Linked DNA regions of Arabidopsis thaliana. The protein of the gene in region 1 interacts with the protein of each later gene in a biochemical or structural test. Each region holds a gene or a part of one and is shown in the gene's direction. Other genes may lie near its edges.

Region 1 (6,734 bases):
TTTTTTGAGAAAACCCAAATCATAAAAACCAAAAGACATTCAATATTCCTTTTCAATAATCTTTTCTTGATTTCCATTTTCATCTCAAGTTTTTTAAAAACCCACCAAGTTTTTTTTTTCGCATGGATGAGGAGATCATAACTAATCTCTGCTAGCCTCTTCTTAGGTTTTCAGAAAGTTTCGTAATTATGGGTTTCGAGAGAACATCATCATCATTATCATTATTATCATCATCATTACCATCATCATTACAACCATCAGAAAACACGAGAGCCAAGTTCAGTCTCTTCTATTTATTGCTACTCTTCTTCGTCCTCTGTGTCATTGCCACCTTCACTATAACTCCCACTTCGACTTCTTCTCCATGTAAGCCATCTTTCTTTTTCTCGTTATCATATTAATTATCAACTTTCTCAAACATTAATATCTTAGAATATTTTTGGTTACGTAACATAAATTATTACAGTACCATTCATATATTATCTTGTTGTAAAAATGCAGATAATAGGAATTCTAACTCTGGGACACTAGGGAACTTCTATGCAAAGGTTCGTAAACTGTTTATACCTCTTACTCTCTTGCGTGATCTAACAAGTAACAATTGTTTTTGTTTTTTTGCTGTTGAGTCAACAATTAGTTAGGAAATAGGAATCAAAAACCGTGTTAACTTCCTTTTTTTTGGCATAACTATAACCACATAAAATCCAAAAAAAGCTTAGTTTCTATTTTCTCCTGATTCAAGCATCTTTGGAGGACAAGATTGATGTTGATTCATCATTAAACACACTTTAAAAATAATATAAGCTTTTTTTTTTTTTTCCATAAATAATATAAGCTTATAATGCGGGGTTCTCTAAAAGGACTACACAAACAAAAGGGTTGTGGCTAAACTGCGCTTGAACAGTCAGCGACTGTGACGGCATGTCGAGACTGACTGGGCATGCAGAGATGCCATGTACTCCTAAAGAAATTCTCAGCCGTCGGATTGGTTTCAGCGCACACGAGGACAAGGACAGTACTCAACTTTTGGTTCGTTCACCACTCGTGGGACCCTGCCTTGCTTACGATCTCGATCGAGTGGTAATATTAGCCCCCACGGTGCACGTTAACGTATGACAGGCTCTTGGAACTTCTCAATCTCTCTGCCCTTTTTGGTAATGTGCGTAGCGCTTTTTCCGGAGCGGTTTTCCCGCGTCTTGTCTCACATCCCCAACCCTGTCTTAAAAATGTTTTTTACCTAAACTGCGCATTTTAACAATAATATGCGTATGTCAGCATGAAATCGCACGTTAGTAACGCAGTCCTCTCACTATCTTATGTTGATAGCAGCTGAAATTGAGTTCACTAGAAGATACTAATTATTGAACGTTAATTAGAAAATACTAATTATTCTTGATTAACCATATTGTTTGGTTTGTTTTACTAGATGTATTATCCTAATGAAGAAAATAATAAATTAGGATATGTATACGTTTGAATATATATTTAGTAATGAAAAATGTGATAATATGTACGTTTTGAGTATGTGTTCAGGAGGAAGGCAAGAGTACCGTAGTGATAAAGAAGACTAGGAAGATCGGTGACCGGAGCAAGGAGGCAGAGCTACGGAGGATTCTAAGGGGATTGGGCTCATCTCCACCACGGTGCTCCTCCAAGTGTGGAAGATGCACTCCGTGCAAGCCTGTTCACGTTCCGGTGCCTCCCGGCACGCCTGTCACCGCCGAATACTACCCGGAAGCTTGGAGATGCAAGTGCGGCAACAAGTTGTACATGCCATGATCTTTTATAATATATATACTCACATATATACATTATATATATGAATTATATGCATGTTCGTAGTTATATCTTGCCTCTACTCCAAATATTTATTATACATTGACATGTTGCTAGGACAACCTCAACGTGAAACTTTTGCTGATAAATTGATTGATGATGCTCGTATAGACGATATGACGTTCTTAGCATATGATTTCGTATATGGTGACATAATTCATGAATAATATCAACATTTGGTGTCAAAAGGAAACATATTTCTTGTCTTCTTCTTCAACGTACTTGCTTATAATGAACAAAAAATAAAAAAACGTACTCGCTTTCTAATAAGTATCACATAGGTTTAGGCTCATAAACATATGGACTAACATAAATAAACCAAAAGCCCAATAACATTACTCTTAGCATATACATATAAGTAAACTATTAACATCTGTCTGCGGGACTCGTTGATTTCATTTAAATTCTGTAGTCTCAGCTCGTTCAATTTAATCTATTCGTACACACTGATAATATTCAAGAAAACATATGCTAACGTATAACGTATTACGTATCCAAATACACCTTACACCACTCACACATAGCCCATATATAAAAGTTTGAAGGATTTAAAGTCGCAGACTCGCGGTCATTTTTTTTCTTTAAAGTCGCAGTCATTGACTGACTGATTCTTCTTTCTTATTGAAAGGTTTTTTATGTAAAGACGAAAGTTTAATCAGGATGTGAATATGGTACGGCCCATGTTCTTTATTCCTTTTTTTTTTTTTGGTGCAAAGTTCTTTCTTATTCTATGTTAGAAAAATAATCAAATTACCGACGCGAGCAAAGGTTATTATTTCCTGGCTATTAGTCTATAACTGATAAATAATTAGTCAATCAGATCAAACAATAGAGAAATAATTAGTCTGCAATCAGCGATTATTAAAAAATAAAATAAAATAGAAACATATCTCAGCACCGATTTTTCAACAGCCGGCCCACGATCCAGAACCGTCCAGCTTGAAGCCGGCGCCGCGTCGACTTGTTCCACCGTTCGGATATTGCCACGTGTGTGAGAGACACCTGCCATTACCTCGTGGAACATGTTTTGTTAGTATAAGTTACTAACCAAGTCGCTATCTTCAATTCTTCATTACCTAAGAGTTGAATAAAAAAACAACCATATACGATGAGACACGCAAATAACTGATATACGAAACAATTATTTATTGATGTACATTCTTCTAACTATAATACTACAAGATTCTGAATAGTTTTAGATGTAAAAAGTACGAGAAGAGTTATGATCAGAGTAAGTTAAGTGATAAGATCATGACACGTAGGCAGAGGAAATAAAGTAGAAACTATCGACAACATAATAATTGAGTGAGTACAAAAACCACGTAATAATTAGGTGTACACTGTAGTCTGTAGATCGATTGTACAAAATGAAAAAACTATATGATTTAAGGAACTAGATATACATATGCATCGACTCAAGAACAGTTGCTTTATGTGAAGACTATCAATTACATTATCGGCTAAATTTGGCTTCATGTGTTGAATAGATGGATTGTGTGCTCAGGTAGTTGTGTCAGTTAATTATAACAGTAAACCTTCACTGCTTCACATATATAAAATTTGGGTTAAAAAAACTTTAACATTTTATTTTTTTAATTGACAACAAACAAATTCTGTAACGGTTACATATAATAGTGCTTCAGTTAAACTCCTTTTTTAGGCAACTCTAATTCCTTTATACCCTTAATCCATTATTATTCTATCGAACTTATCTTTTTAAAAGCTTCCGCGTTACGCCATCACTTCTCCACCATTTAAATACCTAAACCACTTTCTTTCAAATTTCTTATTCCATAAAAAGTAAATTCACAACAAAACCAAAAAAAAAAAAAGAGAAGAAGAATTAGCTTACGTGTTCATCACATCTGCATTACGCGCAAACGAAACAGATTCAAATTCTCCGGCGAAGTTTTCTTATTCATCAATCAATCTCTGGATTCATCAATCATGCCAGAGATCGAGATTGCCGCCGGCAGCGGCGACAACAACGACGCCTTATTCGGTAAATATGAGCTCGGAAAGCTTCTCGGATGCGGCGCATTCGCCAAAGTCTTCCACGCACGTGATCGTCGTACCGGCCAAAGCGTCGCCGTGAAAATCCTCAACAAGAAAAAACTCCTCACAAATCCAGCTCTAGCCAACAACATCAAACGCGAGATCTCAATCATGAGAAGATTATCTCATCCAAACATCGTCAAGCTCCACGAAGTAATGGCGACAAAATCAAAGATCTTCTTCGCAATGGAGTTTGTTAAAGGAGGAGAACTATTCAACAAAATCTCAAAACATGGACGTCTTAGCGAAGATTTAAGCCGGAGATATTTCCAGCAACTGATCTCCGCCGTTGGTTATTGCCACGCTCGCGGTGTTTACCACCGCGATCTCAAACCAGAGAATCTATTAATAGACGAAAACGGAAACTTAAAAGTTTCCGATTTCGGTCTAAGCGCGTTAACGGATCAGATCCGACCCGATGGGTTGTTACATACCTTGTGTGGTACTCCGGCGTACGTTGCGCCGGAGATTCTATCTAAAAAAGGATATGAAGGTGCTAAAGTTGATGTATGGTCTTGTGGAATCGTCTTGTTCGTTCTCGTCGCCGGTTATTTACCGTTTAACGATCCGAATGTGATGAATATGTATAAGAAGATTTATAAAGGAGAGTATCGTTTTCCTCGTTGGATGTCTCCAGATCTGAAACGATTCGTTTCTCGTCTTTTAGATATTAATCCTGAGACTAGAATCACCATTGATGAGATTTTGAAAGATCCTTGGTTTGTTAGAGGAGGTTTTAAACAGATCAAGTTCCACGATGACGAGATCGAAGATCAGAAAGTGGAATCGTCACTAGAAGCTGTGAAGAGTTTAAACGCGTTTGATTTGATTTCTTACTCGTCGGGATTGGATTTGTCGGGATTGTTTGCTGGTTGTAGTAATTCGAGTGGTGAATCGGAGAGGTTTTTATCGGAAAAGTCGCCGGAGATGTTGGCGGAGGAAGTGGAGGGGTTTGCGAGAGAGGAGAATCTGAGGATGAAGAAGAAGAAGGAGGAAGAGTATGGGTTTGAGATGGAGGGGCAAAATGGGAAATTTGGTATCGGGATTTGTATTTCGCGGTTGAATGATTTGCTTGTGGTGGTGGAGGCACGGCGGAGAGGTGGTGATGGTGATTGTTATAAGGAGATGTGGAATGGTAAACTCAGGGTTCAACTTATTCGCGTTTGCGATCAGACGTCGTCAACAAACGCGGCTATTTAAAAGAACGCTATGAAGTTTTCTACCGTGCTTTCAATTTTAAAACGCCAATCGCGTTTCGTTGGTTGGATTTGGTTTCTACTACTTTTGTTTCGGAATTAAAAACAGAGAAAAAATAATAAAAATTAATGTATGTATTTAAATACTGTACCAAATTGTAGGTATCTATTTTGTGCTTTTTGATCAATGTGTTACTATGTACAACAACAAGTCTAAAATTGCATTTGTAGATACTTCACTCTTTTGTATAATGTAGAAAATGTTCTTCTATTTATAGTTTGGATTTTCCAATTTTACACATTTGTACATAACTACTTTTTAAAATCAACCATGCAAATTGTATTAAGTTAAAGTGCATGATAACCAAATCAGATTAATAACCAATGAATTGAAAATAAAAAGTAGATAAATTACTAAAATAAAATAATCTCTAAATCGCATAAACTCATCTAAACTCTCAAAAATCCATACATTACACATTTTTTTTTTTTTCAAAAAGGCTTTCAATTCTATACATTTTTCTGCTTATCAAATATGGCTTCTTCACTTTAATATTTATGTATAGAATTGAAAGCATTTTTGAAAGAAAAACTTTGTGTAATGTATTATTGAACAAATGAAATGATTGAAATGGGAGTTCCACATCCAGTGAAGAAAAAGCATTAAAAAGTATGTATAGAATCAGGGAACTTCAAAAATTGAAATCTGCAGCTTTATAAAAAGAAAAGCTATTATTGTCTACTTGATTGGATATTACAACTCAAAACGAGTGAAGGTTAAGGAATCATTATCATTATTAAAGCATCATCATAAGCACCAGCCTTTTGTTATTCTTCTCATCATTTGTTTGGCCAATTTAAAATTTTAATTAATATCATCTCACCATAGTTTCTGCCCACCTTTTGGTTTTAGGTGCAAATGGAAAAACTCTGGCAAATTAGGTTGTTTGGTGTGAATTAGGAAAGTAGAATGCTTATTGAATATTCTTGACTATATCTAAACTCTCTTTATTCACTTGGGTGATTTCCTCATAAAAATATTATTGTACCAAACTCTCTGAAATCAAAGTTTACTATATAGCTAAAATAAAAACCAAAAACTCTACTAAACCAAAGTTAAGAATAAATTCTTTATTAGAGACAAACTCAAAATTGAAAACCATCATTTATTGTATCTGAAAAGTAAAAAGAAAAAGAGGATATAATATGAGGAGAGATTATTTGAAAGCTGAAATTTTAGTTGCGGTAAAATTTGACATAAGTGAGCAAATTTTATAAGCTCTAAAATCAATAGGAGACCTATCACGGTATCACTATCATGATGGGTAACAATGTCATGTGAACCAAGTAAAACAAAATACAGTATAGGAAATGAATTATAAAAAATTGGGCCATTATAAAATTGGGTCATTGAATACAGTGGGCCTTAATCATACATTTCGGCCCATTCTCATCCTTAAGAGATAAAACGGATTTTTTAGTGTAATAATCTGTCGTCTTCAACGGTCGAATTGAATCCAAGAGATATGAGAGAGAAAAGGGGAAATCGGAAAGCCCTAGATCCCGTCGGTGAGGATGGAGTCACCGGAAAAGATGGAAAAGGCTTCTTCGCCTGTTATCTCTTGACCTCTCTTAGCCCTCGTCATA
Region 2 (7,253 bases), on another chromosome or scaffold:
CTCATGTTTGTACACTCTCTGGTTTTCACGATCGTACCATATATTCAGTTCATTGGTCAAGGTATAGACTTGTTGTCACTTTTGAGGGATTTGAAAGAAACAATTGTAAAGTCCTACTATATTCCCATGCCAACCAAGAAGATGATTTCTTACACCTGATAAATGCACTTTTTTAATCTAGTTCATTGATCAAATAAAGCTAAATTAGTAATAAGCTTTGCTGACCAATATTAATTGTCTTCTATGTGTCCTACTGGATAGATCGACATAAGTTTATGATAAGATCTGATACCTTGATAGGGACGGTGTTATTGCTAGTGGAGCAGGCGATGATACTATACAGTTATTTGTGGACAGCGACAGTGACTCTGTATGCCCTTGTCCCTTTTACCTATAATCACAAATCCCTCTTTTAGTATCATTTAGAAAATATCATTAACCATATCTTGTCCGGTTTACTTCTTGGCATATGCTCTGTGTCATCATTGTAGCACAACACAAGAAACCAAAGCTCATGGTTTCTTGATTGAATTTTTCGTTTGCTTTAGACTCTAGCCAGTGATTTTTCATTACATACAATATACCTTGTGTACAGCCAAATTGAAAAGCTGGTCATCATTGTGTCAGGTTGATGGACCTTCATACAAACTTTTGGTTAAGAAGGAGAAAGCACATGAAATGGATGTAAATTCGGTCCAATGGGCACCTGATGTAAGTTCATTTCCTTTCCTAAGGAGTAATTGGCTAAATATGTAAACAAATGCAGGGTAATCTTACTCGTATGTTGGTACTGAGTTTGGTTCATAAAAAAAATTGAAAGCTTGATTTTCTTGTTTAAACTAGTTTTAGCATATACGGCGAATCATCTCTTGCTAAAGATTCTGAAATCGAGATTTGCATTGCAGAAGGAAAGCCGGTTGCTTGCCTCGGCCAGCGACGATAAAATGGTTAAGATTTGGAAACTTGCCTCGGAGCCATGACCAGACGGATACATATTCTTTTAATTTGTTGGTTTCTAACTTAGTTAGAATTTCTATTTCATTGTTTAAGTAGGAGGAATGTGTTCTCTTAGTTAGATTTTCCTTTAGTATACACAGAGATGCAGCTTTGCTTGTCAAAAACTAGAGAAAGGATATCTCTATTTAAATTAAAAAGGGTCGCCTGAATTTTCAGCCCTATACTAACATTCCACCCTAAATTTTTAGCCACTTGAAAAACCACCATAAACAATTTTAATCTCGATAAAACTACATGTACTTTCGGATTTGTTCTTAAAACTACGCCTCCAATTGAACCGACCAGTTAACCGATAATTATACATCCGGTTTGACTTACCCATAATTTATCCAAAACTAATCCGATTTTGACTCTATTTTAACCCAATTTATACCCAAAAAATATATTCTCTAGAAGAAAAATACTTTTTATTTATTTTTATTTATTTTTGATAAAAAATTAAAAATAAATTAATTAATTTTACCAAAATAATAAAATAACAAAATATACCGCAAAATAATATAACAAAATAGACAACAAATTCTTTTTATAAATACAATGGTGTTATATATATAAATGTATTTGGTATATACTCTAAATTTAATAATTCAAAAGCCATTTTCTTTTTAAAAACACCATAATCATATATAAATATATATATATATATATACATATATAACTCATCTTGAATATATAAAAAGAAAACTGAATCTATAAAGAAAAATAAATTTATAAATACCATAAGATATACTTTGATTGTGGTGTTTATGGATATCTATAAAAATAAATTTGGCATATATTTTGAATTTTATTACATATATAGAGTTCAAAGGTCATATATTATGATTTCAAGAAAAATGAATATTTTTGTTTAAAAAAAGACATAGCTTTAAATTTATAAAAAAATATAAATGATTGCCAAAAGGAAAATGTATATGTTTGTATATTATCAAAATTTTATAACAAAATGTAGCTCAAAATATAATTTGGGGTATATTTTGTCATATTAAGTTTTGCTAAAATTAAGTAATAATTTAATATTTTTAATTGTTTATCACAAATACAAATTAATAAAAATACTTTTACTTCTTAATAAGACAATTTATTTACATTTTGTGTGGGTCAAAATTAGGCTAAAATAGAGTCAAAATCAGATTAGTTTCGGTTAAATTAGGGGTAAATCAAATCGGATGTATAATTATCGGTTAACTGGTCGGTTCAATTGGAGGCGTAGTTTTAAGAATAAATCCGAAAGTACATGTAGTTTTATCGAGATTAAAATTGTTTATGGAGGTTTTTCAAGTGGCTAAAAGTTTAGGGTGGAAAGTTGAGATTCCAACTAGTATATGGCTGAAAATTCAGGCAACCCAATTAAAAAGAAAGATTATGAGTTTTGTTGAGAAGAAAACACGTGCAATAAAGAGCTTTTTGGTTTCTTCTTTTGTGTTCACTCTGGAAAAGATGTTTCAGAAACAGAGGAATTGCAGAGTGTAGCACACCCACTCTTATTAGCATCGTGCAAACCGCAAAAAAAAAAAGATCCTTAATCTTTTGCGTCGTCTAATCCACTTTGTGTATGGAAATATTGGAATGGCTAAAGTTGCTAAAATTAATCAATTAGCTCTTCAACTATAGAGTTTGATAAGACATGATCGTCATCGACTAAGTTGATCCATGACAACTGGCCGACCAAATAATATTTTAGCATTGAAAATTTCTACTGTATATGTATTTTCAAAATTACATTCAATGATAGGATAGTGACAAATATTAATCTGAAAATATAACATTGTCTATTGTTTTATTTCTAAGTTGAATGTAATTTTGAAAATACATATACGTAGAAAATAATATTTTAGCCAATAAAAACTAAAAAGCTCTATATTTATTCTTGTTCTTTTTTTTCTTCTTCACCAATATATATGTTTACCAGTTTAGCCATTCCATAATATATTATTTTGTTTAAAAAAAAAAAAAAAATCAAATGGGGACCACCAAGGACGGTACATTCATTTGATTTTAGAGAATGGTTCAAATGACGGATATATTAGCGTGACATTTTGATAAACTGAAAAAATAATAAGTGAAGCAGAATCAAAGTTGCCACTTAGTCCGGAAGACTGTGATTGTGATTTTGAATGAACTCATGGAACAAGTTTCCTCTGTAAATTTTTCTCACTACTTTGATTTCTCATTTCTTCTCTGATTTTGTCTTTTTGTAATGTTCTTGTTCTTGTTTTGTTTTGGTGAAACAGAGATCAAGCTCTCTCACTGTCGGAGAGCAATTCTGCGCCGTCTTTATACCTTTCTTTGCCATTATCGATGTCCTAGTTTCCTCCGTCGGACAATGCTTCGATTGCCGCAGCACATCGCCTCGGACATGTCAGCACGCGGATCTGGAACGTCTTGCTCGTGAATCTCAATGTTGGTTTTCTTTTTGTTTTTGCCTCTCTCTCTCTCTCTCTCTTTCATTTCATGTCCAATGTGTTGTATACGTTCTTGGATCAATGCGTCTTCGAAATGACTCTGTTTGGAAGTTGATAAGTTTGAAAAGTTTGTTTCTTTTTTGCAGTTTCAGTCAATGAAGTTGAAGCTTTGTATGAGCTATTCAAGAAATTGAGCTGTTCAATTATTGATGACGGCTTGATTCACAAGGTCTGTTTTTTCTCTCTCAGATATGTCTAGTTGGTGAATTTTTCATAGGTTGATGATCATCACTTGACTCCTTTTCCTTTATGTGTGTGATTCATTGCTTTCAAGGCATTAAGTTTGCTCTTTTTAGATGATAGTTATCTCTCATTATAATTTATGGTTATGAAGAAATTTGATATTTCTGGTTTCCTAGGAAGAGCTTAGACTGGCGCTGTTCCAAGCTCCATATGGTGAGAACCTCTTTCTTGATAGGGTGAGTGGCTTCTCATGGTTTCTTGGACTTGTTGAGATGAAAGTTTTTTTTACTTTATATTGATTGGTGTTTTGCAGGTTTTTGATTTGTTCGATGAAAAGAAGAATGGGGTTATTGAGTTTGAGGAATTCATCCATGCACTCAGTGTCTTTCATCCCTATGCATCAATCCAGGAGAAGACCGATTGTAAGGATCAATATTACTACTAATATAACTCCTTGGATGATCTCAAGCATATGCTTTTATTATCTGTGACAGTTGCATTTAGGCTCTATGATCTAAGACAAACTGGATTCATTGAGCGAGAAGAGGTAAATAATAATCTGCCATTGCAAGTTGCAACCCTTCTTTTCAGCTTCATAATAAGTTGGACTTGTTAGGTGCAACAAATGGTTTCTGCTATTCTCTTGGAATCTGATATGATGCTATCCGATGAACTTCTGACCATGATTATTGATAAAGTGAGTTCTTGAAATCCCATCTCTCTTAGTGTGATGTATAATATTTTGGTAAATTTAGTTAGCACATGCTTCTTTTCTTTCTCTACTTTGTTTTTGCTAGACATTTGCTGATGCAGATTCTGACAAAGACGGTAAAATTAGTAAGGATGAATGGAATGTCTATGTGCATAAACATCCTAGCTTGTTGAAGAATATGACTCTTCCTTACCTAAAGTACCAAATCCTCTCTCTTTTTTAGATTAGCCCTTCCATTTAGGATTTCCTTTACTTTATCATCAACCATATCTGTATTTGAATTTGAAGGGATGTGACGACAGCATTCCCAAGTTTTATATTCAACACTGAGGTTGAAGACTGAGGCACAACTGTCCATGCAACACCGGTCATCTTTTTTCTGCTTGGTCCTGTAATTCGAGTGAGATTGTCATAGCGCAAGAGCAGAACGAGGAAAGAAGGTTTTCCTTATTTTATTTTAAGCCAACGTAGTTGATGATTATTAGCTGTAAGTAAAATTGTCAAGCACTTTGCTTTGTTTTGATGACTTTACTGTAATTGTTCCATTGAAAGTAATGAAGCATTTTTCTTTTCATCTTGCGTCTATGGCAGTATAGTTGATTTAAGTCTTGATTCTACCAAAGTTTGTGTTTTGTTTTCGGTCAATTGTGGAATATATAATTTATAGAAGATGTATTCGAATGAAATAATAGAGTAAGAGACAGAAAGCGTATAATGAGAACACTATGGACAGAATGTGAAAGAGAAGAGTGCGTGGTGAGAGAAAGGGACACAACACAATGGGACAGAGCAGTAATCAAGCAGACACTGCAGCTGCGACTTGTTCTTCCTCTGGGAGGAGAGTGCACACCAGTTTCCTGTCTCCATATACATTGTCCACACGCCCTGTTCCACATTTCAATCATTTGTCACATATCAGAATTCCGAAACCAGAATAAACTGAATCGAAAACCAAATGTGCAATCTATATCTTGGATGGTCTAATACCTGTGGTGGGCCAGAACTTGGAGGAGCGGAGCCAAGGCGCAGGGAAAGCAGCATACTCTCGAGAATACGGCTTTTTCCATGTGTCTGCCATTAGCAACGATGGGGGATGTGGAGCTCCCTGAGAAAACAAACAACCACCAACGTATGAATCTCAACTTCTCCGAACAATATTATTATTGGATATAATTATGATAAGTCTTTGTTTTCCTAATTACCTTGAGAACGTTGTTCTGGACATCTGCATTTCCTTTTTCAATCTGTGCAATTTCTTCCCTGATTGAAATGAGAGCATCGCAGAACCTGTCTAGCTCCGCCTGCAAACGAATATTATTTAGTTTCATCAAGTTGATACACTGAGAGAAGAAAGAGTCAATGAGAGATCTGCATATATCCATATTTACCTTGCTTTCACTCTCGGTTGGCTCAATCATAAGAGTTCCAGGGACAGGCCAAGACATTGTGGGTCCATGGAATCCATAGTCCATTAGCCGTTTCGCCACATCCTCTGGTTCTATTCCAGCAGTGTTCTACAAATTCATATTTGAATCGGTCAGTGATATGCATACCCAAAACAACTACTTTAATTTCAGTTCACAACATTTTCATACCTTGAAGCCTCTCAAGTCTATGATGAATTCGTGTGCTACTGTTCCGTTAACACCACGGAAAAGAACTGGGTAGTGTTTCTGTAAAAACAAATCAAGAGGAAAATTAGACTCCTTTCATTCTCAAAAGATGAATAGGTAAATAGAAGACAAAGATGTTCTACTACCTCTAGGCGCTTTGCCATGTAATTGGCATTCAAAATTGCAATCTTAGAGGCATCAGTGAGCCCACCAGATCCCATCATGGCAATGTAAGTATAAGATATAGGCAAGATAAGCGCAGATCCCCATGGTGCAGCGGATATTGCACCCAAAGGTGCTGTCTTCTCGGGTTGTGGGATACCACCAGTCGGTATCTGTATACATGGAAATGGAAGAAACAAAAAATTAAGGAATTAATCATCAATCACCAAGAAACATAAAAGTGATGAAGGATAAAAGACTAACCACGGGGTGAGAAGGAAGAAATGGTGCCAAATGATTCTTCACACCAATGGGACCCATACCAGGACCACCACCTCCATGAGGAATACAGAAGGTCTTGTGGAGATTGAGATGGCACACATCCGCTCCAATAAAACCAGGGCTCGTCAAACCAACCTACACGTACCCAACACCATGCTCTTACAAATTAGAGAAAATTCAAGATCTCTGTGTTCTGTTTTAGTAAGATATTTCACCTGTGCATTCATGTTGGCACCATCCATGTACACTTGACCTCCATTTTCGTGTATTATGTTGCAAATCTCGTCGATGCCCTCTTCATAGACTCCATGAGTTGAAGGGTATGTAACCATAAGAGCAGCTAAGTTGTCTTTGTTGGCTTCTGCAGCTTTTCTCACCTCCTCAATGTTAATGTTTCCCTTAGCATCAGTTCCAACTGTAATAATTTTCATCCCGCACATAGCAGCACTTGCAGGGTTTGTACCGTGTGCAGAGACAGGTATGATACACACATTACGGTGATGATCTCCTCTTGACTGAAAAATGCATTCATTCATTCACTTTTCAGCTTAATACAATTGAATAGAAGATTGTTAGGTAGAATAAGATCCAAATTTAGGATAAAAGATGTTACCATGTGATATGCGCGGATAACCATAAGCCCGGCATACTCACCAGCAGCACCAGCATTAGGTTGCAACGAGAAAGAGTCAAACCCAGTGATCGTACACAAGAGGTCACCCAAATTTTCGAACATTTCCTACATACATGTGGACAAGATATCAGTTCATTGTTCAACTTTCTAAATCAGACCTCAGATGAATCAAGAAAGTCACTAAC
Region 3 (7,849 bases), on another chromosome or scaffold:
TTGTCGATTATGAATCCAAAACCTTTACAAGATCCTGATATTGCTCTATGTTTGCAGGTCCTCTCACTTGATGAACAAATGCAGAACGTCGCTAGAGCTTTTCTTTGCGATTTGGTTTGTGATTGGAAATGTTTGGGTGTTCGATTCTAGGTTTGGTTCTTTCCACCATGCTCCCAAGCTTCACGTTCTCTGCGTCTCTCTTTTAGCTTGGAACGCTATCTGCTATTCCTTTCCCTTTCTTCTCTTCCTCTTCCTCTGTTGCCTTGTTCCTCTCATAAGTAGCCTCCTTGGATATAACATGAACATGGGATCCTCAGACAGAGCAGCATCAGATGACCAAATCTCTAGTCTCCCTAGCTGGAAATTCAAACGAATCGACGATAGTGCTTCTGATTCTGATTCAGATTCAGCTACTGTAACTGATGATCCAGTAAGTCCTAATTCTTTTACTCTCAATTCAAGCCAAATCCACAAGTTTTCTTGGACCATAAGGTTTAATCTGTGATAGCTCTGTTTTGATCCACTAAGGGAATCTGATGTCGAATGTTGTCTATTAGTCTCGTTTATGATTGAAAAGGACTTAGATTTTGAGTTTTGATTTGGTTTTGCAGGAGTGTTGTATATGTTTGGCAAAGTATAAAGACAAAGAAGAAGTAAGGAAGCTTCCATGTTCACATAAGTTTCACTCAAAGTGTGTAGATCAATGGCTTCGTATCATCTCTTGTTGTCCTCTCTGCAAACAAGATCTTCCAAGATGACAAAGCAAATACCCTAAAAGCAACAAAAGCTCAATATAATTTTTTTCTTTCTCAGTTTTTTTTTTTTTTAGTTTTGGATTGAAGCAAAGTCGATTACTTGTGTGAGTGTCAAATTTTTTGTACATAAAGAGCTCACCAGTAATCGTTATGTACATTGTGAGTAGATGATGCAAATCACAATGGCAACAACTTTATAGAATCTTAATATAGTGTTTATACTACATATTTTGTTTTTTCTCTCGTCTCATTTACATATCTTGATGTATATATTTTTTTATATGTTCAATTTTTTTTTTTGCAATTTAAAACTGAAAACCCAAACATTACTTCATTAACTATCAATTAGGATGTCGGTTTTCTTAAAAGAAATATTTTTATAGCATTAACTATATCTCATAAGTATAAAAGTTTTGGACATGGCATCTAAATAGTTGGAGTCTTTGAGATGGTTTTGACTTCAGCTATATAAGTAAGTCTTAGGGTGTTTAATTTAGAGTTTGAATTTTAAGCCTTTGAGTCTGTCAAAACCTAAAATAGGCACAAACCAAACAAAAACAATCAGATGTTTTTTTTTGGTTACAGAATCTTTAAATTAGACTGTTCTAGATTCTCAATTGGCACTAACACAACTAAGTATGTTCCTAATTGGTTGAAAAGTCATAATATTTGTCCTTGCACAAAATGTGTAAACCATAAAAAGAAGAATAAAACCTCCAAGTCAAATATTTTCTACTAATTTACAATAACTCTTTTCTAGAATACTAACCACCAATAACTTAAAAAAGCAGTTTGTCAACAACATCCAACGACTATTTTTAGCTGCCTTCTCTCACAAGTCACTATTATAAATGACCTTTTGGATTCATTAGCAAGAAACAACACAAATCATTCTTTACCTTCATAACAAAAGTCACTATAGAAATTACCTTTTGATTCATTAGCAAGAAACAACAACACAAATTCATTCTTATTTACGTTCGTCAAAACCATGACGAAAGAAAACCCTTCAACCCTAAATCTCGGACAACCTAAGGCACAAGAAAAGTATTCCACAAGTTTAGCCAAGATCAACCCTAAACCCTCCGGTAGCTCTACCGTTGAATCGAAGAGCCAAGACAATAACTCACCTAGTTTAAAACGTTGGAGATCGTCCTCCGGTAAATCTACGAGGCTAAATTGTTTATGTTCTCCGACGACACACGCCGGTTCTTTCAGGTGCAGGTATCACCGCGTTGATTCGTTGACACGTGCCGGGTCTATTGGGTCGAACCTCGCTGTTTTATTGTCGTCCAAGTCGAGCCGGTTTAGTGACTCCCTCAAGGCTCAGTAAACCCGGTTACTGGATTTGTTCGGTATAATAACTGTCGGTTTTGTTATTTGTTTGTTTCTTCTACTTCTTCTTTTGACATTGTTCAATAATTTTTATCGAAAAAGACATTGGTCTGTATTACTAAACCGCTTGAAATCGGCTTAACCCGATTCAAGGTAAACTTTTATCTAATTTTCACCAATTTGATTCAAATTTAAGCATTTATTACATACACATTTTATATGCTTCAAAAATACTTGAAATGAATTTTTCTGTCTACATTTTATATAAAGAAAATATAAAATAATTTTACGAAGTCAGAAATAATACGCAATATAATATATTTTTGCAAATTTATATATATTGTAAACGTTTTGATGATCACATTATTTTTAAAATTTCTGAAGATATAATTGAACTTATCATTTCGGGAGGTTCGATTTTATATGTTACTTGTCAAAAATTTAAAATTTGACAATAGAAAAAAATGGCTATATCACATATTATCTTTGATTTTGTATGATTATTTTGCATTTAACATCGTAAAAAATGTACTAATTTGAAGATTTTTTGAAAACTTAAATTCTCCAATAGCACAATAGATCATATATTCTATGGGTGAATGTGAAATTCAAATTTATGTCCGGTTCAATTCAGCTCGAGTTTTACTTAACCGGAACGAAAATCAAATCGAACCGTATTTTGAAGAATAAAACGACGACGATTTGAGCAGATTTTTCAGGATTTAATTTGTAATAATGCAAAAAGATTGAGTTTTTGTTGTTTGTTGAGATATTTAAAAAGATTCTTCAGGTTTTAATTTGTTTTCCAACTCTCTCCTCTGCTTTACAACAAATCGTCTCCGTCTTCCTCGCTCAGCTTCAACAACCAGAGCCGACTTGAGATTGAGAATCAACGTAATCGGTAAATTTTCGTATACGCAAATCCATTCTACTCATTTTGAGTTCACTTACATATCAAGATTCTTCTATCTCTGTTGAATCTGCGATTCACGAATCCATTAGGACGATTTTTGGGGATCTAGATCGGGTTTTGTTTCTCAGAACCTGTAATTGATTGTGTAATCCTTGAGTTCATTAATGTATAAATTCAAATTTCCCAATTTGGGTTTGTTTCTGATGGATTTTATTAATTTTGTGTGTCCATAAATTGTGATGTTTAAGATTAAAATTTGGTTAATGAGCTTTGATTAAGTCTTTAGATTCTCCATTAATTTTCTTATCTTCTTCAATATTGTATATATTATGTGGACATAACTGAATCATCTGAATAGTAAAATCATGATAATGACTTCAGTTTCTAAGCAATGTTTGTGTTGCCTATATTGACTGACTTATTTAGATTACTCTGAATTTTGCAACTTGTGTTACAGATACTCTCGCAAAGTCTCATCCTTTCTCAGCAAAAAACACTAGGAAATGGTTGAAAGGTACAGTGTTCTTCATATGCTTGCTTCTGTAGAGCTGTTTTTTGAAATTAGCAAAACAAGTTCACAATGTTTTATATGCAGGCATGGAGAGTTTTGATTTGCTGCTTAAGATATATCATGTCGCAGTGCGTTGACGGTATCAAGCATTTATGCACCTCTGTTTTAGGGTGTTTTGATCTTGATTTGTATAAACAATCTGGTGGCCTTGGAGATCCTGAATTGCTTGCAAGAGACACTGTTTGTATGCCCTATCACCTTCTCTACTCTTTTTTTTTTTTTTTTTTTCCGGTTATAAGATTCGATGCAATACCATTTGAGGAATGCAAAAATATTTCTTCTGAAGACTATTGATGATTGAATTTGGTTTTGGAATGCAGTTAGTGTGAGTGAAATAGAAGCTCTTTATGAGCTTTTTAAGAAAATCAGCAGTGCCGTGATTGATGATGGGCTAATAAACAAGGTATAACTCTAACTTGTTTGATCTTCTTCCTCATTTGGTAAAGCTTTAGTGATTGATCTAACAATCTGTCTAATTTACTCATCTCTTGTTTGTATCAGGAAGAGTTTCAGTTGGCTTTGTTTAAGACAAATAAAAAAGAGAGTTTGTTTGCAGATCGGGTAATGTTTCTTTCTTCACATTATAAGTGTTCTTAAACCCATTTTTGTCAAGATCAAGTTTAGAAGAAATGCTGAAATATGTGATTTTGTTTCTAGGTTTTCGATTTGTTTGATACAAAGCACAATGGAATACTGGGGTTTGAGGAATTTGCTCGTGCTCTCTCCGTCTTTCACCCAAATGCGCCTATAGATGACAAAATTCACTGTACGTCCCTTTTAGCTTGTATCTCAAAAACAAGATTGGGATAACACATTAATGATATATACTATTTTTTTGCAGTTTCATTTCAGCTATATGATCTTAAACAGCAAGGGTTTATCGAACGGCAAGAGGTAAAGCTTCCATATCTTCAAATAGCTTCATATATAACCTTGTAGAAGTGCGCTTTATTATCCTCACTGACATTTTCGTCCATCATTTGTCCAGGTGAAACAAATGGTTGTCGCTACGCTTGCTGAATCTGGAATGAATTTGAAGGATACTGTCATTGAGGATATAATCGACAAGGTAAGTTACTTACTTTTTTTCCTCTTCACCCTATATTTTTTCTTTGAAAGTAATTTCCCGAGTTTTGAATGTTTCAGACGTTTGAGGAAGCAGACACAAAACACGATGGAAAGATCGATAAGGAAGAGTGGAGAAGCCTTGTTCTTAGACATCCCAGCCTTCTGAAGAACATGACTCTTCAATATCTCAAGTGAGTTCCAAATCTTTCTATTTATATAACCAGGATTGAATCTATTCAACCAAATTCCTTCTCTGGTTTCTCTTTCTTCTATTCTCCATGATATGTAATAAAGGTCGTGATCCTGTTGTGTGCTTGCTCTGCAGGGATATCACGACTACGTTTCCAAGCTTTGTGTTCCATTCTCAGGTTGAAGATACCTGAAAAAGCAAAAGCAAAAGCAAGCAGCGGCAAGACATCATTGTATTGTTGAAGGTTGTTCTTTCGTTATGGTTCTTTATTTGTTACATTTCTAAATCTCTGAACTCATTTTATTTTTTATTGAGCTTTTTTTGTGAAGCAAAATTCTTCTTTTTAGTTTGGTTTTTGTCCTTTTTGATTTCGCTCGGTCTATCTGTAGATACAACTTTTGCATCTTGATGTTATGGTAATGTAAAGTTTTTCAGTTTATTTATTAATCCAATTAAAAAGATTTGCTTCAATCTCTGTGTTTTGGTTATTAGAGTTAGCTTTTAATATTAATTCAATGGATTTCTAGATTGCAAGCAAAACTAGTCATTTCATATGTGACTTGTAAGCAAAACTAGTCAAAACTGAGTGATGTCACCAGCCCTCCTAATGACGAGTTTTCCGAGATCAGCTCCACAAGAATCAACTTACATGATGACAAAAAGTGGATCTTCGATGAGACGCCATTAGAGAGAAGAGGAGATGATCTTACCAACAAGGGTATACGAAAGCAGAGCTTCGGGGGATGGTTGAGAAGCAGAGACATGAATAATGTTCTTCCAAAAAGAAGAAGAGGTGAGAAAAGGGAAAAAAAACCTAATTGAAGAATTAGCGATTTTCCCTCACCAAGAACCCTACATTAATACAAAAGGAAGTGACTTGCCAATCAAGTTTCCCATCCATTGTAGATGAGGGGAACATTGTGTTTGTAGTAAGGCAATGGAAGAATGACTCATTTATGCTTCAATGACTTCCATGTTCTTTCTTGAGGAGAAGGAAGACCATTCTTCTTGTTTTGCTACACAAGACTGAAATAAGAAACCTCTTCTAAAAGTTCTTCACGCTCCATGTAGACTATCTCTTTCTCCAAGGAGCGCTTTTCATTTAGAAAAAGCAACTTTTACTCTTCATCTTATCTTCGGCCATACTAGACGCAAACTCAACTTCAAGATCAAACAGTGCTTCTAAAGCCAACTCAACTCAATAGCCATACTTCATGCCGTCTCTTCAGCTTTTTTATCTTTCAAAGGAATATTTCATTAATATGATTTAGTTTTTATTTTATATACATCATTTTGACATATATATTTTTGAAAATTAATTTTATGCTTTAAACCACAAAAAAGTTTAAGTTTGGACCTTTCACATTTAGGTTTCAATTATTGTCTACATGTTTTCATAACTATATTCACACAAATAACTAAAATCTCCTCATAGAAAAAAGATTAATTGGTTTGAAAGAATAAAAAGAGTATAAAAGATTATTTTTCTATGGTTAAAAAATATGAGAGATTTGCCTTGGAAACGATAGTTAAAATTCAAAGAAACTAAGCTTGATATAACTACAAGTTTCGTACATAAAAATGTCGAAATTGTTAGATGTAATGAAGCCAACTTTAGCTTGAAGCCTCACCATGTAATGTTTTATCTCGCCGGAGAAAAAAAAATTCATTTATCGGTGAAATTAATTTATAAGACCAACTAAAACATCAAGCACATTAGATCTATTAATGATTGATTAATGTTAATGTGCTTTTAAAATTGAATAAAACACATGATCAATCATATTTTTAGCGTATAAAAAATAAATCATATAAACGAGATGGAAGACCATTCTTCTTGTTTTTCTTTACAAGACTGAAATAAGAAACTTCTTCTAAAAGTTCTTCACGCTCTATGTAGACTATCTCTTTCTCCAAGAAATATATACTACCAAACACTTTTCATTTTGAAAAAACAGTTTTTACTCTTCATCTTATCTTCAGCCATACTAGACACAAACTCAACTTCAAGATCAAATAATGCTTCTAAAAGCCAACTCAACCCAACAACCATACTTCACGCACTCTCTTCAGCTTTTTTCTCTTTCAATAAGAATATTTCATTAATATGATTTAGTTTTTATTTTTTATACATTATTTTTTACATGAATATTGTTTGAAAATCAATTTTATGCTTTAAACCACAAAAACTTTAAATTTGGACCTTTTACATTTGGGTTTCAATTATTGTCTACATGTTTTCATAACTATGCTCACACAAATAACTAAAATCTCCTCATAGGAAAAGATTAATTGGTTTGAAAGAATAAAAAGAGTATAAAAGATTATTTTTTATGGTTAAAAAAATATGAGAGATTTGCCTTGGAAACGATAGCTAAAATCCAAAGAAACTATGTTTGATTTAACTTCGAGCTTCGATCACAGAAATGTCGAAATTGTTAGATGTAATGAAGCTAACTTTAGTTTGAAGCATCACCATGTAATGTTTTATCTGGTCGGAGAGAATTTGTTTTTGTTTATCGGGGAAATTAATTTATAAGACCAACTAAAACATCAAGCTCATTCGATCTATTAATGATTGATTGATGTTAATGTGCTTTTAAAGTTGAATTAAACACATGATAATCATATTTTTAGCGATTTAAATATAAATCATATGTAAATAATTAATGAGAACTAATGATAATTGTTTTAAACAATTTATAGTCTTCAACATAAATATTAACTAAAAATGCTATTTAAAACAACTTTGTAGAAACTCTACAATAAAACAATTAATTCTCTTGTTTATTGTAAGGAAGAAAAATAATAGATTATAACTCTAAACTATATAAAATTAAAAAAAATTAGAAAAAACTACAAAAATTAGTATTTTAATTATTAAAATTCAAAAATAATTTCAACAAAATATCATGTAATAACATGTAAACTAGGTAAATACTTGTCTGTTGCACGGCAATATGCCATCACAGTTGTTTGTTATAGTTAATTTGGCTATTTCAAGCTATCATATATTA

Evidence for each region. The genes of interacting proteins can lie anywhere in the genome.
Region 2: of the proteins of SIP4 (region 1) and CBL10, one has a biochemical effect on the other in vitro, tested with the Arabidopsis thaliana proteins (one study listed by BioGRID).
Region 3: of the proteins of SIP4 (region 1) and CBL2, one has a biochemical effect on the other in vitro, tested with the Arabidopsis thaliana proteins (2 studies listed by BioGRID).

The regions. Positions count from the first base shown.
Region 1 is NC_003071.7:12,935,622-12,942,355, reverse strand, and holds SIP4 (SOS3-interacting protein 4), read left to right. Parts: upstream 1-3,521; 5' UTR 3,522-3,783; coding exon 3,784-5,091; 3' UTR 5,092-5,377; downstream 5,378-6,734. Other genes in the region: CHAL (allergen-like protein), read left to right, coding at 189-366, 502-594, 905-1,080, 1,534-1,779; AT2G30350 (Excinuclease ABC, C subunit, N-terminal), read left to right, coding at 6,614-6,734.
Region 2 is NC_003075.7:15,921,679-15,928,931, forward strand, and holds CBL10 (calcineurin B-like protein 10), read left to right. Parts: upstream 1-2,670; coding exon 2,671-2,718; intron 2,719-3,040; exon of another isoform or gene 3,041-3,142; coding exon of another isoform or gene 3,143-3,160; intron 3,161-3,251; coding exon 3,252-3,420; intron 3,421-3,568; coding exon 3,569-3,651; intron 3,652-3,841; coding exon 3,842-3,901; intron 3,902-3,978; coding exon 3,979-4,087; coding exon of another isoform or gene 4,088-4,110; exon of another isoform or gene 4,111-4,159; coding exon 4,160-4,212; intron 4,213-4,281; coding exon 4,282-4,362; coding exon of another isoform or gene 4,363-4,374; exon of another isoform or gene 4,375-4,462; coding exon 4,463-4,575; exon of another isoform or gene 4,576-4,665; coding exon 4,666-4,720; 3' UTR 4,721-4,950; downstream 4,951-7,253. Other genes in the region: AT4G32990 (Transducin/WD40 repeat-like superfamily protein), read left to right, coding at 1-61, 301-370, 628-711, 906-980; GLDP1 (glycine decarboxylase P-protein 1), read right to left, coding at 5,174-5,262, 5,365-5,482, 5,580-5,678, 5,766-5,891, 5,973-6,050, 6,137-6,325, 6,417-6,569, 6,650-6,949 and 1 more. UniProt on the Arabidopsis thaliana protein: Acts as a calcium sensor. CBL proteins interact with CIPK serine-threonine protein kinases. Binding of a CBL protein to the regulatory NAF domain of a CIPK protein lead to the activation of the kinase in a calcium-dependent manner.
Region 3 is NC_003076.8:22,668,555-22,676,403, forward strand, and holds CBL2 (calcineurin B-like protein 2), read left to right. Parts: upstream 1-2,558; 5' UTR 2,559-2,991; intron 2,992-3,460; 5' UTR 3,461-3,517; intron 3,518-3,598; 5' UTR 3,599-3,634; coding exon 3,635-3,758; intron 3,759-3,894; coding exon 3,895-3,977; intron 3,978-4,075; coding exon 4,076-4,135; intron 4,136-4,231; coding exon 4,232-4,340; intron 4,341-4,415; coding exon 4,416-4,468; intron 4,469-4,562; coding exon 4,563-4,643; intron 4,644-4,720; coding exon 4,721-4,833; intron 4,834-4,967; coding exon 4,968-5,025; 3' UTR 5,026-5,076; exon of another isoform or gene 5,077-5,301; intron 5,302-5,359; 3' UTR 5,360-5,546; downstream 5,547-7,849. Other genes in the region: AT5G55970 (RING/U-box superfamily protein), read left to right, coding at 58-430, 612-758; AT5G55980 (serine-rich protein-like protein), read left to right, coding at 1,747-2,088. UniProt on the Arabidopsis thaliana protein: Acts as a calcium sensor. CBL proteins interact with CIPK serine-threonine protein kinases. Binding of a CBL protein to the regulatory NAF domain of a CIPK protein lead to the activation of the kinase in a calcium-dependent manner.